Macaca mulatta: one gene and its partners. The protein of the gene in region 4 purifies or fractionates together with the protein of the main gene of each other region. This does not show direct contact. Links are inferred from orthologs where the notes say so. Each region holds a gene or a part of one and is shown on either strand. Other genes may lie near its edges. The genes, in order: KEAP1, CLTC, CLTCL1 and MAP1LC3A.

Region 1 (4,281 bases), on a different chromosome or scaffold from region 4:
GGCTGGGAGTTGAGACCAGCCTCACCAGCATGGAGAAACTCTGTCTCTACTGAAAATACAAAATTAGCGGCCGGGCGCGGTGGCTCAAGCCTGTAATCCCAGCACTGTGGGAGGCCGAGACGGGTGGATCACAAGGTCAGGAGATCAAGACCATCCTGGCTAACACGGTGAAACCCCATCTCTACTAAAAAATACAAAAAACTAGCCGGGCGAGGTGACGGGCGCCTGTAGTCCCAGCTACTCAGGAGGCTGAGGCAGGAGAATGGCGTGAACCCGGGAGGCGGAGCTTGCAGTGAGCTGAGATCCGACCACTGCACTCCAGCCTGGGCGACAGAGCAAGGCTCCGTCTCAAAAAAAAAAAAAAAATACAAAATTAGCCAGATGTGGTGGCACACGCCTGTAATCCCAGCTACTCGGGAGGTTGAGGCAGGAGAATCACTTGAACCCAGGAGGCAGAGGTTGCTGTGAGCTGAGATCACGCTATTGCACTCCAGCCTGCGCAACAAGAGCAAAACTCTGTCTCAAAATAAAAGGAAAAAAAAAAAAATGAGCTTGGGGAGCCCTGGGAGATGTGACTAGGAATTAGCTCCTTGTCTTCCAAGGCAGCTGAAACTGAAGGACAGCTGTGTGGCTTGCCTATGGGGAGAAAGATGCCCTACATATCAAAATGCGATGGGCAAAGATTACAAAACGGTTTCAAATACCAGCCCTAAGTCAAAGAGGAGTGTGTTTCAGGAGAAGAGCCCTTTCTGGCCCCGGGTTTCAGACCTCCAGCCCAGAGCCAGGGTGAAAGACACTAGTTAGTCTGTTCTTTATTTTCCTTGGAAAATTACAGGGTTACTTATCAACAAAATAACTGTCCATCCGGTGGGGAAGTGCCATCCGGTGGCTTCTATGTACAGGCCCATCCCTGGGAACCACATTTCCAGAGGGGGCCTCCGCCTGAGGCCCCCATTGGCCCCCTCCCAGGTATCCAAGAACAAATCACAAGGTGAGGGCTGCCGGCGTGGCTGGCTGGGTGGGTGGGACCCAGGGCCAGAGGGTTTGGGGGCCTCTCTCCTGGAAGCCTGCTCTTTCCACACCCCCTTTCCCAGCCAGGCTGTCTTGGACACTCCTGGGGCTCCGCTGAGAGGCACATGATTCCCGCTTTGGACTTCTTTTTGAGATGTCATTTTAACACTGAGGCATCGCGGCCTCCCTTCCCGGAAGATGGGTTATTTGCAGTGCTGTCTTTTTTCTTTTAATCCTGGTTTTTGTACAAAAACAATGATACTCCCCATTGGACTGTATTTTCGCCCAAGAAACAAAAGTGCCTCAACAGGTACAGTTCTGCTGGTCGATCTGCTTCCGGCAGGGCTCCATGGTGACAGCCACGCCCACTCCGCTCCGGCCCGATGTCATTCGGGTCACCTCGCTCCAGGTGTCTGTATCTGGGTCGTAACACTCCACACTGTCCAGGAACGTGTGACCATCATAGCCTCCTGCAGGAAGAACAGAAGGGACGGTCACCACCTGTCACACCACATCCAAGAGCAGGGGACAGAAAGAGGGAGAAGCAGCTGTGAGATGCAAAAGCAGGCCGGGCGCAGTGGCTCACGCCTATAATCCTAGCACTTTGCAGGGCTGAGGCGGGAGGATCGCTTGAGGCCAGGAGTTCGAGGACAGCCTGGGCAACATAGCAAACTCTAGTCTCTTACTGAAGAAAAAAAAAAAAAAAAAGGCCAGGCGCGGTAGCTCAGCCTGTAAATCTAGCACTTTGGGAGACTGAGGTGGGTGGATCACTTGAGTCCAGGAATTTGAGACCAGCCTGGGCAACATGGTGAAATCCCATCTCTACCAAAAAAAAACATAAAAATTTAGCCAGGCGTGGTGGTGCGTGCCTGTAGTTCCAGCTACTAGGGAGGCTGAGACAGGAGAATCACTGGAACCTGGAAGGCAGAGGTTGCAGTGAGCCGAGATCACGCCATTGCATTCCAGCCTGGGCAACACGAGCAAAACTCTGTCTCAAAAAAATAAAATAAAAATAAATAAAAACAGCCGGGTGCTGTGGCTCACGCCTGTAATCCCAGCACTTTGGGAGGCCGAGGTGGGCGGATCACAAGGTCAGGAGATTGAGACCATCCTGGCTAACATGGTGAAACCCCATCTCTACTAAAAATACAAAAAAAAATAAAAATTAGCCGGGCGTGGTGGCAGGTGCCTATAATCCCAGCTACTCGGGAGGCTGAGCCAGGAGAATGGCATGAACCTGGGAGGTAGAGCTTGCAGTGAGCCGAGAGTGTGCCACTGCACTCCAGCCTGAGCGACAGAGCCAGACTCCGTTTCAAAAATAAATAAATACATAAATAACATTAAGCCGAGTGTGGTGGCTCACGCCTGTAATCCCAGCACTTTGGGAGGCTGATGTGGGCAGATCACCTGAGGTCAGGAGTTCAAGACCAGCCTGACCAGCATGGTGAAACCCCATCTCTACTAAAATATAAAAATTAGCAGGGCATAGTGGTGGGCACCTGTAATATCAGCTACATGGGAGGCTGAGGGGGGAGAATCGCTTGAAACCAGGAGGCGGAGGTTGCAGTGAGCTGAGATCGCGCCATTGCACTCCAGCCTGGCAACAGAGCGAGACTCCTGTCTCAAAAAAAGAAAAAGCCCCAGCGCGGTGGCTCACGCCTATAATCCCAGCACTTTGGAAGGCTGAAGTGGGTGGATCACGAGGTCAGGAGTTCGAGACCAGCCTGGCTAACATGGTGAAACCCTATCTCTACTAAAATACAAAAAATTAGCCAGGTGCGGTGGCACACACCTATAGTCCCAGCTACTCAGGAGGCTAAGACAGGAGAATTGCTTGAACCTCCAGGAGGCGGAGGTTGCAGTGAGCTGAGATCATGCCATTGCACCCCAGCCTGGGCAACATTGCGAGACTCCATCTCAAAAAAACAAACATTAGCCGGGTGTGGTGGTGCGTGCGTGTGGTCCCTGCTACTTGGGAAGCTGAGGCAGGAGGATGGCTGGAGCCCAGGAGGTTGAGGCTCCAGCAAGCTGTGATCACACCACTGCACTCAGCCTGGGCGACAGAGCGAGACCCTGTTTCTAAGAAAAAAAAAAAAAAAAAAAGGAAAGCAAAAAAGCAAAAGCAGCCACAGTCCACAAGAGATGGGGCTAGTCGGGACTCTTCCCCACCCCCAGGGCCTCACCAAGGACGTAGATTCTCCCCTGGTGGACAGTGATCCCCAGGGCACTTCGCCGGTGCTTCATGGGGGCTACGAAAGTCCACGTCTCTGTTTCCACGTCATAACGCTCCACGCTGTTCAGCTGGTCCTGACCATCATAGCCCCCGGCAGCATAGATGCAGTTGTGCAGGACACAGACGCCTAAAGGGCACCGTGCAGAGAAGGTGACTCTGGAGGACTGGCTTTGGGAGCCCCAGCCATCACCTCCTTGAGGGAGACCTTTCCTCTCTCCTCTCCCTTCTCACCCTCAGAAATGAAGCATGGAGAGAGAGAAGCTTGGACTCTATCAGAATCCAGTGCTTCTGTGGTTATCTCAGGGTGAGGGTTGCAACAGGGGGTCTCTCCCAGGCCTGGCTCAGTTTCACCCCAGGATGGTGGGGGTGTTCCTGGATGCTCCCCTCACTACCGTCCCCACCCACCTGCCCCGCTTCGGATGGTGTTCATTGCTGTGATCATTCGCCACTCGTTCCTCTCTGGGTAGTAACGCTCAGCTGAATTAAGGCGGTTTGTCCCGTCAAAGCCCCCCACGGCATAAAGCAGACGATTGAGGACGGCCACGCCCACCCCGATCCTTCGTGTCAGCATTGGGGCCACCAAGTGCCACTCATCCCGCTCTGGCTCATACCTGCAAGGGCATAAGAAAAATGGGGACAATGGCCATTATAGCTGACCTTCGTGGAATACTTAAAGGCCTGATACCCCTTTTTTCCCTTTTTTTCTTCCTTTAAAGAGACAGGGTCATCAGGCGCAGTGGCACGTGTCTGTAATCCCAGCACTTTGGGAGGCCGAGGAGGGTGGATCACCTGAGGTCAGGAGTTTAAGACCAGCCTGGCCAATATGGTAAAACCTTGTCTCTATTAAAAATACAAAAATTAGCTGGGTGTGATGGCAGGTGCCTGTAATCCCAGCTACTCGGGACGCTGAGGTGAGATAATCATTTGAACCTGGGAGGTGTAGGTTGCAGTGAGCTGAGATCGTGCCACTGCACTCCAGCCTAGGCGACAGAGAAAGACTCCATTTCAAAAAAAAAAACAAAAAAAAGAGACAGGGT
Region 2 (4,498 bases), on a different chromosome or scaffold from region 4:
CATTTGCTGTAGGTGCATGCCTTGATGACAACAGATCCTTCAGTTGGATAATGCAGTTAAAGGGTATAAAAATAAGTTCATTTACAGTTTTACAAGCTAACTATACTCATACTTAAGTTCCTCATTTCTTGTTTCCAGTTTTTAATCCTACGTGTTTCAGAAAATTTTCTGCTACTTAGCAAACTGGTAGAAGCTCAGAGGTCAGAGACCTAAGACGCCAATTAAAATAATCCTTATTAGTTGGGCTCAGTGGTTCACACCTATTATCCCAGCACTTTGGGAGGCCAAGGCAAAGGATTGCTTGAGCCCAGGAATTCGAGACTAGCCTGGGCAACATAGTGAAGCCCCATCTCTACAAAAAATACAAAAATTAGCCAGGTGTGGTGGCTCATGGCCGTAGTCCCAACTACTCAGGATGCTGAGGTGGGAGGATGGCTTGAGCCCAGTAGGTCAAGGCTGCAGTGACCTGTGACAGTGCCACTGACCTCCAGCAAAAACCCTGTCTCTTCAAAAAACAAAAACCTTATTAATTTTTCAAAAGGTAGGAGATAATGAAGTCAGGAGATATATTATCATGGAAGAGGCTGTAGTTATTTGCGCTCTGCAATTAATCAGCTGGAGCACACAGTCATATTAGCTAAGCAAGCTTAACTTTAGGCATGACATAGCAATCCAAAACACAGAGGGCTGAATTTTCAATTTGCAAATCTGCTTTATATTCAAAATCTTCAAATTATTTGAGAAGAAAATGGCTTCATTCAAGTATCTGCTGAAACTGAGCCAGTTACAAAACAGACATGTATTAAATTTGTCTTCAATAAGTGACAAGGTTGGGTTCCAATCTCTGGCATCATTTAACAATTCTTGTCTCCTCTTTAAAAGAAATGAAAAGCTATTACTCGAACCACCACAAGATTTAGTAGTGAGCTATACATCTGCCATGGAAAATAAACAGCAGCTGTACTTGATTCTTTGTGTGGTTTATAAACATTTGTCTGCAGAAAGATATTTCAGATGCAGCTTAGTATGAAAACAAGCCCGCGTTTTCCCCTCACACTTAAGAACAGCACTTTCTCAACTCTCCACATTCATTTGCCACCCCACTTTAACAAAAATAACTAAAGCAATTAAACTTGGATTGATTAAAAAAAAATCCACTTTGTTATTTAACGTTTTTAACCTTCTGTAAAAGTGTTTTTATTATTGGCATAAATATATTTATATATATATGCCAAGATATGCCAAGGTATATTCCATTACTTCAGATGAGTTATTTGAAAATTATAGATGACTGAAGAAAGTGCATTATTTGACTCATTTTATGGGTAAAGATTTATTATTCTTTACATTTCAAGCCTTAAAGGAAAATAAGTCCTTGCTAGTGCAAACATGGTAATACCTGCAAAGAAATATGAAATTATGTTACTTATAGCCTGAATATTAAAACCTTTTATTAACAAAACTCTTTTATGTATGTTATACCAATGGGGGAATGTAAATAAAAATGGTCTTCAATGGTAAAGTGTCTAATAAGTCACTGATATTAGTGTCATGTCAAACCACTGCATTCTCTGTCATTATGGAATTAGCCCTTCAGACGATAGAGCTGAGGCAGGTTTCTTTAAGGGGATATTTGGGAAGAAAGCAAATTAATAGGAATAAATTGTTTCAGCTACAGTAAAAATCAGGATTGGTGACACAGGAAAATCAAAAGCTCTGAAGAGGTTTAATTCAGTGAAGCCTTCCAATGGTCACCTGCCTAGGCCAGCGATTGGCATGCTGCCAGATGAGACAACAATATGTTGCCTCCAGGATAAGGAACCATGGGAAAGAACTCTAGAACTTACTAAAGGGAAGCCAGTTACAGACCAAATAGCCCCGCAGGTCTCAGAGCAGCTGTGCTCTGTCCCCAGGGCTCTGTTCAATTCCATGCGATCCTGAGGAAGATATTCAAAACTACCTGCTACTACTCGAGAAGACTAGAAGATAACCTCTGTATCACTCTTTCCTACCTTCTAGAACCAAAGAGGGGTTAAGAGCCACAACATCCCCAAAGAAATAAAAAAAGTGGGAAGGGGAGGCGAGTTTCCTTAGGGAGCTCGACCCCACACACTCTGAGATTGACATCGTTCTGAGAAATGCGTTCTCCCATTCTACCCTCGTTTCGTTCTTTCAGTGACCTTCTGTCCCTACTGCCTCAAGGAAGGCAAGAGACAAGCCACCGCCTCACCACCACCCCCAACCCCCACCACCGGAGAAGGTGCCTTTCTCAGTTGAGAGCCGCAGAGGGAGGAAAAAAAAAAGGTTGCTCCTCCCCAACCCACCCGCCCCACAACTCCTGGGTGCAGACACGAAGAGGGAAAGAGGAGAGCAATGGAAGGTGACAGCCCCGCACTGGCCCAGGGGATAAGAATCCTTGCTCTGGTAGAAACAAGAGAGAATCCCCCCTCCCACTCCCCTACCCAAATGAATGAACTGAACAAAATGGGGAGGAGAGAGTTTGTACGCGCAGTTCTGGCCATCCAGGAAGCAAGATCGAGAGGCCTTTGGATCCAGGCCTGGTCTTTGCAGCCCTTTGCACCCCAACTCCTGTCCTTTCATCCAAGCCCCACATCATTTAACAGTTTAAGCTTTCTAAGATAGTGCCCCCTCCTCCACCTACCCCAAAGACCGACAACCCCCCCACCCCTCCAGCTCCGATCCTGCTCGGGGCCCAGACTCCAGCTTCTTCCACTATTCCTACCACCTTCTCCACAGCCCTCACCAGCCCGGGCCCGGCCGCACCTGGAGATGCTCCTGAAAACGAATTGGCAGAATCTGGGCCATGGCGCTGTCGGGGGGAATGGTCTCCTCCTGTCACTGGGGCTGCGGGGCAGTGGCTGCCCGGGCTCTCCGAGGGAGAGGAGGAGAAGGGGAGGGGGGAGGCTGGGCTCAGCAGGATCCTCTCCGGGGACGCAGGAAACTGGCACGCAGACGAAAGAGCTCGGGTCGGGGGCGGAGGCTCCACGGGCCAGGAGAGCCGCAATGGCGGAACCGGGCGCAGCGCAGACTCCGGAAACGGCTGAGCCCAGCGGAAGGATCCCGGCGACAGAACTCCGCCCAGTCGCCTCACCCCCTCCGCCTTATGTACCCCTCCACGGAGCGGTGCGTGCGGCGGGTGCAGGAATTCCGGGCGCTGTGCGCCCGGAGCCTCTCTTCTGACGCCACACGGGGGGCAACAGAGGAACCGGAGGGACTACTTTTTTAGACTCATCACTTTCGCCAATCTTCTTTTTCTACCCCCACTTTTTTTTTTTTTTTTTTGCATTTTGCCACATCATGCGACTCGGAGCGACCGACGTCACTTCCGTGGGCGCTTTAGGTCCCACCCACGTACTTCCAGGTGCACGTGATACTGATGGGGAAGGGTCGGCTGATTGCTGCCAGAATGGAGAGCGCGTTTTAAGGAAATGCGGCGTCTCCTGGGAGTGAAGTGGCTGTTGGGCCACCTTGAGGCATGACGGGTGCCGCTTCCTTCCCCTGCGACCCCTGCCTGTTTGGACTGAGCCCCTTACAGGAGGACGTGGCGGGGGCAGACGGGGGCAGCCTCCCGCCCTCTCCGTGACTCAGGGAAACGGCCTCGCCGCAGAGCGCTCCCTCGGCAGCTGGCTGCAGCACTCCTCCCCCGCCGGGCTTCAGAGTGGGTGGTTTCCTACAGCCTAGGGAGGGGGCCTGAAACGGGGTTTAAAATCCTCCCTGCCCTCACACACGCCCTTCTGACGGTTGGAGAACCTGACGCGCGGATTCTAACTAGAACCGGCACTCTCTTCGGGTGTTAGATAATTAGCTCAAAGGACAGCGAAGGCCATTTATGATGTGTCTCAAGCTGGCCTTATGACAGCTTCTCTTAACGTTTCTGCGGACATTTTGGCGGGCGGACATGTGTCAGCCTAGCTCAGTAATCAGTTTCGTTAAAGAATTCGAGTATCAGAACGTACAAGGATTGGACTCAAATTCTAGCAGGAGGATTTTTAGCCACATCAAATAATTTATGTCTCAGAGATTTAGATAATTAGGGTAAGGATGCTTGGTAAAGCCTGAAGGTTCCTGGAGGAAAGAGATGAACTGTTAGTCGTGCATTTCCGTGGGACCACCTCAACATAGGTTCCTGTAGGTTAGCAGTGTAGAAATGCAGCGCTTCAAAGCCGGAGCATCATGTCTTCAAAGAGCATGGAGGTATCAACGGCATTCATTGTCGATTAATAATAACCTTCCCAGTACTTTCTTGCTAAAGTATAAGCCATAATATTTCATAATCGCACCAATACAAAAAAGGATGAAAGACTTTAATTCTGTGCCTTTTATCTTTGTAAGAGAGGTGATTCCCCACCCTCCCCCGAAAGAGAAAAGCTCAAGTCCACAGTAATTATTTTTAGTGCCCTTTTCAGTTAAAGGACATAAAACCCTACTGGGTAGACAGTAATTTTGTGTGCTAAGTTTGAGTTAGGGTGAGAAGTTT
Region 3 (4,585 bases), about 54 Mb from region 4:
TGGCTCAATAAATGATAACTACATCATCTCATTATTATGAGCAGCAGCAGTATTTTGCTACCTCAACATGACTGGCGCTGGCTCAGCTTAGTGGCAGAATGAAGTCCAGGGGGACAGATGTCGAGGCACTTCCACCTCCACACAATTTCCACTGTGTCACTAACCAAGCGACCCTGGCAGGATCCTCTGGATATCAAGTTTCCAGTCTGCAGAATGAGGGGACCGGACTGGTCACTACACAGGTCCCAAGGCCTTTCCCGTCTGCATCTAGGGCTAACAATGCTCTGCACTGTGAAAACAGGAACTTTCAATCAAGCACGTTCCTCGATGTACTACTTTGTAGTCAAAAAGACTGGAGTCTGAATCCTGTTCTTATTGAATGAAGATGAGTTCAACACTTTTGAGACTCGGTTTCCTCATCTACAAAAGAGTAAGCGAATCGCAACGAATGGGAGTGTGATGATTTAACATGGAGCACTCAGGGAGGAGCCGCTGGAGACCCTCCTCTGTCGCACCTCCCCGGGTAAACGAGGGGACCAGCGCCGTTCCCGGGCAGACCCGTGAGCGGCCCGCAAGGCGCCCGACCCAAGCCTTTGCTCAAAGCAGGCGACCAGTCCTTATGTTCCTGAGCACAAACAAACGGAGAACAAACTGGGACCTTATTAAAAAGGCAGGCTTTGGAAGTGTTACTGCATTGAAAAGCCCTACTTCGGCTTAGCCCTGAGAAATTTTTCTCTTGGGTCACGCATGTTCACGGTCCTCCCAGGGGAAGCCGCCCTGGGAACGAAAACAGAGCACAGAGGCAAACTCAGGGGCGAATAAGGACCGGAGAACACCAAGCGGGGCGTGGAGCTGTGGGATCGGCGCGGCCCTCGGGTTGCCCCGCCTGAAGCGGGAATCTGTGTGCGTCCTCGCGGGCACTGAGCGGGGCGTCCCAGGGGGCGTTCGCTTCCACCACCAGCGTTCCCCAGCCGGCGCCCGCCGGTAACGGGCTTCGGCGACGGCACCCGAGCGGGTCCTCGCGAGCGGCCGCCGCGCCCGGGACCCCGCAGCCCCAACCCAGGTGGGAGGTCAGAAGTCGGCGCGGCCAGCTGGCCAGCGGCTCAGCGGGGCTAGGGGCGCGGGGTCAAGCCTGAGAGGCCGGCCGGCGGAGGCGCGGCTGACAGGACGGAGCGCGGGGCGCATCCCCCGGGCCCTCCGGGCCTCACCTGGAAGTGCTCTTGAAAGCGAATAGGGAGGATCTGCGCCATGGCTGGTGCGGGACCTAGGCAGCTGCGGCGGCGGCGGTGGAAGCGGCAGGGATGACCGCCGACCCCTCGCGCGGGCTGACCGGTGGCGACGGCGCAGGCGCAGTTGTTCCGACTCCAGGTCCCGGCCCCCGCCCTCCTCCTGACGGCGCCCTGGCCCCCACCCCCTCCGCTGCCCCTCCCCCGTCCCTCGTCCCTCCCCTGCCCCTCCCCCGCGCCCCTTCCTCCCGCCCCTCCCCTGCCCCCGCTCCCCCGCCCCCGCCCCGCCCCCGCCCCGCCCCGCCCCCGCCCCCGCCCCGCCCCCGCCCCGCCCCGCCCCGCCTGCGCAGATCCCTCCCCCCGCTCCGAGGGTCCGCGGAAAGTAGTCCCGCGCGCCCTCTGCCCTGAAGCGGTGTGCGCGAGGTCCCCGAGTGAAAGGTTTTCAGGGGATAAACCCTGACAGGGTCTGCGGCGGTCCTTGCCCAGCGCCTTCCACATGTGGAGCGGGGCAGTGGTGCTAGTTCTGCCTCCAACTCTGGACGGTTGAGTTCAGGGCCACTTTTTACGCAGGCACGGATGTGACAGAAACATGGAAAAGGGCCTTGGAAGAACCACATGTGCCATATAACGAACGACCTCTTGGTCTGAGGAGGACCGTGTATATGACGGTGGTCCCATAAGATGATAACGGAGCTGGAAACTTCCTGTCCTCTGGTGAGGGCTTAGCCAAGGACATTTCCTTCCCTGTATTTGGAGATAACACGGTACAGGTGTGTCATTACGGGTGCCGGCGGAATTCTGCACCTCACACGCGGTGCGGGTGTACAGCCTAGCAGCAGCGGACCGCATCAGCTGCCTAGTTGTGTAGTGGCTGTGCCATCTGAGTTTGTGTAAGTTCCCTTGTGAGGATCCCACAGCCGAGACGCATGCCTCAGAATGCATGGATGCATGGGACACGTGACTGTACCTGTTACAGACGTGTTTCGGCGTGAGGCTCGGTCCCTGCTCCTTTAAGAAATATCTTTCCTGGCTCATGCAGTTTCTAGAGGACACTGTGTTGGAATATCAATGCTAAGAGTCAGCGAAGCTCATCTAGCAGCAGATGACCAGCCCCAGGCCAGTGAGGATCACCCAGAGTGCCCGTGGCTGCACGACAGTAGTAGCAGGTCGAAGCTGGAGCCCACACCTGGTTTGCCCAGCAGCCAGTTGTTTTTCCGAGGCACCGTTGGCTGAGGTGTTTTGCATACAGATGATTCAGCTGCATAAAAGATATCTGTCAGGAAAGGGAAGCCCTTGGCATTCAGCACAGGCACTCCTACGGTGTCATCGATAGCCGTCTCTGCTGCTTTCCTTGTTGCTCACTGGTAATTTTAAGATATGAACAGCCCACCTTGAATAAGACAAGGATGGTGCAATTATTTGCGCAACGGCTTGACCATCTAGAAGCCAAAAATATATTAAGGAATAGAACAGACTGTTCACTTTCAAGTTAAATCTCTTTTCCACTATTAGCCAAGACCTCTGCAGCCTGCCGTTTCTAAAATCCGTGTGGCCTCATCCGCTAAATATAGAGCTGGATTTTGCTGTGGGTAGTACTACATTTCCCAAATCCCTTTATTTTGGCAGTGATGCCTGTGACTCCAAGTACCCTTTACCCCAAACATTATATAAATCTTTTAGTAATTAATACCATCACTCCCTAAATCACCTTCCCCAGGGCTTTTAGGGGATTAAAACTAAAAATTTATACCCAAAAGAAAGAATTTGGCCGGGCGCGGTGGCTCAAGCTTGTAATCCCAGCACTTTGGGAGGCCGAGACGGGCTGATCACGAGGTCAGGAGATCGAGACCATCCTGGCTAACACGGTGAAACCCCGTCTCTACTAAAAAATACAAAAAAACTAGCCGGGCTAGGTGGCGGGCGCCTGTAGTCCCAGCTACTCGGGAGGCTGAGGCAGGAGAATGGCGGGAACCCGGGAGGCGGAGCTTGCAGTGAGCTGAGATCTGGCCACAGCACTCCAGCCTGGGCGACAGAGCGAGACTCCGCCTCAAAAAAAAAAAAAAAAAAAAAGAAAGAATTTAAGAAAATTGTAGTTAAGCAAAGTGACAGGATTGTTAATAAGTTGGGACCTCAAGTGAGGATTAAGTTTCAACATTAATTTTAGAGGAGACACAAATCTTTCTGTCTCTTCAAACCATAGAAGAGACAGAAAGCACATCAGTTATTTGACTAGACAGAAGTGAATATAAGTGATAGTTATAGTTAACAGGAAATAAAATTAATATATTTGTAAAAAAACTAAATGTTCTGACTTGAAAGGGACTTTACTATTCTCATCACTTGTAGGTAACTTGCTAAGTAACCCTTAAAAAAAACTTTCAATTTTTTTTTTTTTTTTTTTTTTTTTTTTTGAGACAGAGTCTGGCTCTGGCTCTCAGGCTGGTGTGCAGTGGCACGATCTCTGCTTACTGCAATCTCTGCCTCTCAGGTTCAAGCCATTCTCCTGCCTCAGCCTCCCAAGTAGCTGGGACTACAGGCGCCCACCACCATGCCTGGCTAATTTTTGCATTTTTAGTAGAGACAGGGTCTCACCATGTTGACCAGGCTGGTCTCAAACTCCTGGCCTCAGGTGATCCATCCACCTCGGCCTCCCAAAGTGCTGGGATTACAGGCGTGTGCCACCGCGCCTGGCCCGGGATTAAGTTTCAACATTAATTTTGGAGGGGACACAAACCTTCAAACCACAGAAGAGAAAGTGCATCAGTTATTTAAACAGAGGGAATTGAATATAAACAATAGTTAACAGGAAATAAAGTTAACTCAATAAAAGGAAAATCCCAAGATATGGAGGTACAAACATAGGACACAGCTACCACCCCTAGAACTCAAAGATGAAAAAGAAGCTGGAATTATTATAGCTTAAAGGAAGGGCTTGCAGAGCTGGAATTCAGATCTCTGAGGAGGTGTGTTGACCAGCTGGGGCTGGGCTCTTTGAGCCCAGAGGAGAGATCCCATGGGGATGGGACCCAGACCTCTGAGGAGGGTCCCTATGGGACTTAGACATATACTATGGATGAGGGGTGGCTGTGGAGCTGGGAGTAAGCCCCCTAAAGAGGGCACTGGGAGACTCTCACCCAGACCTCTAAGGAGAAGGCATATTGAGGCTGGTTCTGCAAGTCCTGGAAAAACTTCAAACTGGATTCAGCTTCTCCTGTGGGAAGAGTGTGCTGCTTCCTTGTTGAAGAAGTCTAGCTGGAGTGATGCTCACAGGAAGTGGCCCTATGGTCTCCCTCTGTCAACCTATCAGCTTAGTCTAATAGGGAATATTAGATCAGGTCTTCTTTGTTTGCCAATGAGAA
Region 4 (3,908 bases):
GGTACATATTTTGGTTAGTTTTTCTCTAGTACACCTTTTTCCATCATTTTACTTTTGGTGCCCTTAGATTTTAAATGTCCTCTTGTAAATAGCATAGAGCTGCATTTTATTTTTTCTTGGCCAATCTGGTCATCTGTGTTTTAAGAGGTGAACGTAAACCACATTTTCTACCTCTGGTTTTGTACTATATATTTACCATCCCTTTTACTTTGCTTCCTTTTTCTCCTTTTCTGGCGTCCATTATAGTTTGTATTCTTTTGATGATCCCTCTTAAATATCTGAAATACACACCTGACTTTACAAAGCCAGAGAATGCTTAGTCTCTTTATCCCCCTCTCAAATCGAACTTCCTAAAACACCTTAACTCTGATTGCCCTCTCAGTCTCCCATGTTCTTCTGTCTCATGCATCTTGTTTCTGTGGCCCACAGATTATCCATTATTCATGTTGCATATTAAATACTTGTTTAGATTTACTGACATGTTTACTAATTTGCTCACCATTTTTCCATCTAATTTCTTCCTTTTGGGTTCCATGTCTTTGATACTGAAGTACATTCTTTAAAAATTATTTTGGCGGCTGGGCGCAGTGGCTCACGCCTGTAATCCCAGCACTTTGGGAGGCTGAGGCGGGCGGATCACGAGGTCAGGAGATCGAGACCATCCTGGCCAACATGGTGAAACCCCATCTCTACTAAAAACATAAAAAGTAGCTAGGCGTGGTGGCAGGCGCCTAATAATCCCAGCTCCTTAGGAGGCTGACTGAGGCAGGAGAATCGCTTGAACCAGGGAGGCGGAGGTTGCAGTGAGCTGAGATCGCACCACTCTAGCCTGGCGAAAGAACGAAACTCCCTTTCAAAAAAAAAAAAAAAAAAAGATGTTGATCTTCGGTCTGTGCCTTCTGCTCTGGATTTTAAGCATCATTTCTGACAGCTCTCATTCAGGAACTGCCTCTGCAGGTCTTTCAGTGCTCGCCTGTGGAGCTCTGCTCCGGCCTGCGAGTTCTCCTGGCGTTGCCATCCGTGGCCTTTTCCTTTTAATTCTCCATCACCTGTCCTCTGGTAAGCTGCTTGCTATCAGCCTCCAGGTCCACGATTTCTCTTCTGTTGTCCTGCTCTGCCTTCTTGCCACATCCTCTGAGACCTGAATTTCGATAGCTCTACTCTTCAATTATATTATTCTTTTTCAAACCTGGGCGTTCATTTCTAGCGTCTTGCTCTATCCTGTGTCTGACTGTGCCTCCCGCACCTTCTCCCTTCTCTTGCCCTGAGCCCCCTTGAAGGCGCCGGGCCTTTGGCTCCCGCTGTTTCCCACGGTGCCCAGAGCCGCGGGTCAGTCCTGACACAGACTCGGTGAGGGAAGGAAGTGGTGCCACGGGGCTGCAGCCTGGCCCACCCGCTCCATCGGCCCAGGGCGGCCCCACCGCTCTCCCGGCCTCACCAGAGTCGGGGCCACGGGAGAGGCTCCCGCGCTGCTCATGACGTCACGGGACTGTGACGCGCCCAGGAGCCCCGCCTCTCGTGTCCCGGGCCGGGGACCCAGGCTCTCTGCGCCGTGACGTCACGGGTCCGGGCGGGCGGGTTGTGCGTCGGCCCAATGGGAGCTGCGCGCCGGCCTCCCCTTTAAGGAATGTTGTGACCTGACGTCACCGGGCGAGTTACCTCCCGCAGCCGCCGCCGCCGTGCTCAGCGCGAGCGCCGGAGCCCTTGAGCGCGAGGCACGGAGCCCCCGGAGCCCCCAAACCGCAGCCACATCTCCGCGCCCCAGAGCCCCGGCCTGCGCGCCCAGCCGGGCCCGCGCGATGCCCTCCGACCGGCCTTTCAAGCAGCGGCGGAGCTTCGGTGAGGCCCGGCAGGCGAGCTGTGAGCTCGGGGTAGGGGTGCCGGGGAGGGGGGGTGCCCGGCCGACCCAGACTGCCGCAGGTGACGTCAGCCCCGTGACGTCAGGCTTCGGCTGGACCCTCGGGCTGGGAGGCTGGCTCCGGCCTGGGCGGGGGCTGCCTGCTTCCCCACCACGATAGGTGCCAGGGGCTGTGGGGCCTGACGGCCCCGGGGGCGGGGGCTGGAGCTGGGGCGTGGCCGGGGGCCGCCCCTTGGGGACAGGCAGGCGGAGACGTGGGGAGGACCTGGGCCGGGCCGACCCGGCCTCACGGTCTGGCCGCTGTCCGCAGCCGACCGCTGTAAGGAGGTACAGCAGATCCGCGACCAGCACCCCAGCAAAATCCCGGTAAGTCCTGCACCCCCAGCCCTGCCCCGGCCCCGCCTCGCGCGTCCCCGACACAACCCCCTGCCCGCCCGCCCTGCTCCCAGGTGATCATCGAGCGCTACAAGGGTGAGAAGCAGCTGCCCGTCCTGGACAAGACCAAGTTTCTGGTCCCGGACCATGTCAACATGAGCGAGTTGGTCAAGATCATCCGGTGCGTGGGCAGCCGCTGCCAGGTGGTGGCTTGGGTCGGGAAGGGAGACGGGTTCCCGCCGAGAAGGGGTCAGGGGTGATGGGACCGGTGGTGGACCCCTGTTCTGGGGCGGCTGGAAAGGTCAAGGTCGGGGCTGCAGTCGGTGCCGGGTCAGAGGTGACAGGTGGGGTGAGGATGGGTGTGAAAGGCTGGGAATCATTCTGGGGGTCAGGGCTACGTTGCCCCGTAGCCAAGCCCCTTACAGCCACATACTCTCCCGCCTGCCTCAGGCGCCGCCTGCAGCTGAACCCCACGCAGGCCTTCTTCCTGCTGGTGAACCAGCACAGCATGGTGAGCGTGTCCACGCCCATCGCGGACATCTACGAGCAGGAGAAAGACGAGGACGGCTTCCTCTACATGGTCTACGCCTCCCAGGAAACCTTCGGCTTCTGAGCCAGCAGTAGGGGGGTCGGCCTGGGAGTGGGGGGGGGCCCGGTCAGGCCCTGCCCAGAGAGCTCCTGGTTCCTGAACTGAGCTGCCTCTGCCGTGGTGGGCTGGGCAGGCATGTGCCCCCCTAGTCAGAGGGCAACCCACCTACTCTGCCCCTGGGTGGATCCTGGGCCGGTTGTGTTAGGGTTGTCCCTCTGGGTGCTGGCTGGGATGGGGGAGGGTTGGGAGCAGCCCCCAGCACCCCGCTGTGTGGTTCATCTTTTTTTTAGGCCCCTGCCTGACTGCCCATCTGCCCCTCACCCACCCAAGGCTCTGCCCACGCCTGGACCTGCCCACCCCTGAAAGACTGGCCCCTGGCTCCCCGCCCCTCGGTCTCCACATGGTGTATGGATCTGTGGTCATTGTCCCTCTGCAGAATAAAGATTGCTCAGGCCTGCCTGGCCCCGTGCCTCCAGCTGCTTGCTTGGGAGTGGGAAGGGTGCTGGTAGGGCTGTCTGCACCATCCCCGGGCTCTGGCGCACAGACTTGTGTTCTGTGGCCTCAGTGCTTGCTCTGGAAACCCACACCTGTGTGTAGTGTTCAGAACATTAGGGTCCAACCCTCTAGGAGTGCAATGCAGATGTGGTCTCAGGGTAGACTTCATAACAAAAAACATTTATTAAGTAGCTACAACCTAACAAGCCCTGCTCACCTGCCTCTTCTCCTTCCTGCCTGGGAGGGGGCTCCTTGGTGTGCAGAGCCACGAAGTGGGGGGGTCCAAGTTGGGGAGCTTCCAGTTCTTCCCCACAGGCCTTACTATCAGCCATGGGTCTCTTTTGGTACCAGAGACTTGTGACCCTGGACTCGAACCTCTTCTGCCCGAGCACTCGCCTGCTGGCAACTCTGACTGGAGGGCTTGGCCCAGCTTCTGGCCCCTCAGCCCCCTGAGGTCCACAAAGCCCTGTGCCAGCCAGGCCTACTTGAGCACAAGCATGGCCTCTGTGCCGTCCTTGGCGGTCAAGTAGAGGCCGTGTGTGAGGTAGTACTCCCGCCGCAGGAAGGCATAGAAGTAATCAGAGATGAGCA

What was found.
Region 1: the proteins of MAP1LC3A (region 4) and KEAP1 purify together in Homo sapiens (affinity purification with mass spectrometry; 3 studies listed by BioGRID and IntAct, with this or other methods). This does not show direct contact. The link is inferred for Macaca mulatta from reciprocal best matches to the Homo sapiens genes MAP1LC3A and KEAP1.
Region 2: the proteins of MAP1LC3A (region 4) and CLTC purify together in Homo sapiens (affinity purification with mass spectrometry; 3 studies listed by BioGRID and IntAct, with this or other methods). This does not show direct contact. The link is inferred for Macaca mulatta from reciprocal best matches to the Homo sapiens genes MAP1LC3A and CLTC.
Region 3: the proteins of MAP1LC3A (region 4) and CLTCL1 purify together in Homo sapiens (affinity purification with mass spectrometry; 3 studies listed by BioGRID and IntAct, with this or other methods). This does not show direct contact. The link is inferred for Macaca mulatta from reciprocal best matches to the Homo sapiens genes MAP1LC3A and CLTCL1.

Annotation. Positions count from the first base shown.
Region 1 is NC_133424.1:11,212,993-11,217,273, forward strand, and holds the end of KEAP1 (kelch-like ECH-associated protein 1), read right to left. Parts: intron 3,856-4,281; coding exon 3,650-3,855; intron 3,372-3,649; coding exon 3,195-3,371; intron 1,482-3,194; coding exon 1,315-1,481; 3' UTR 788-1,314; downstream 1-787. UniProt on the Homo sapiens protein: Substrate-specific adapter of a BCR (BTB-CUL3-RBX1) E3 ubiquitin ligase complex that regulates the response to oxidative stress by targeting NFE2L2/NRF2 for ubiquitination.
Region 2 is NC_133421.1:50,364,796-50,369,293, forward strand, and holds the start of CLTC (clathrin heavy chain 1), read right to left. Parts: upstream 3,064-4,498; 5' UTR 2,827-3,063; coding exon 2,785-2,826; intron 1-2,784. UniProt on the Homo sapiens protein: Clathrin is the major protein of the polyhedral coat of coated pits and vesicles. Two different adapter protein complexes link the clathrin lattice either to the plasma membrane or to the trans-Golgi network.
Region 3 is NC_133415.1:33,412,244-33,416,828, reverse strand, and holds the start of CLTCL1 (clathrin heavy chain 2), read right to left. Parts: upstream 2,981-4,585; 5' UTR 1,725-2,980; coding exon 1,209-1,724; exon of another isoform or gene 1-1,208. UniProt on the Homo sapiens protein: Clathrin is the major protein of the polyhedral coat of coated pits and vesicles. Two different adapter protein complexes link the clathrin lattice either to the plasma membrane or to the trans-Golgi network.
Region 4 is NC_133415.1:87,343,947-87,347,854, forward strand, and holds MAP1LC3A (microtubule-associated protein 1 light chain 3 alpha), read left to right. Parts: upstream 1-1,644; 5' UTR 1,645-1,799; coding exon 1,800-1,839; coding exon of another isoform or gene 1,840-1,860; intron 1,861-2,168; coding exon 2,169-2,224; intron 2,225-2,307; coding exon 2,308-2,414; intron 2,415-2,683; coding exon 2,684-2,846; 3' UTR 2,847-3,286; downstream 3,287-3,908. Other genes in the region: GPI-anchor transamidase component PIGU, read right to left, coding at 3,799-3,908. UniProt on the Homo sapiens protein: Ubiquitin-like modifier involved in formation of autophagosomal vacuoles (autophagosomes). While LC3s are involved in elongation of the phagophore membrane, the GABARAP/GATE-16 subfamily is essential for a later stage in autophagosome maturation.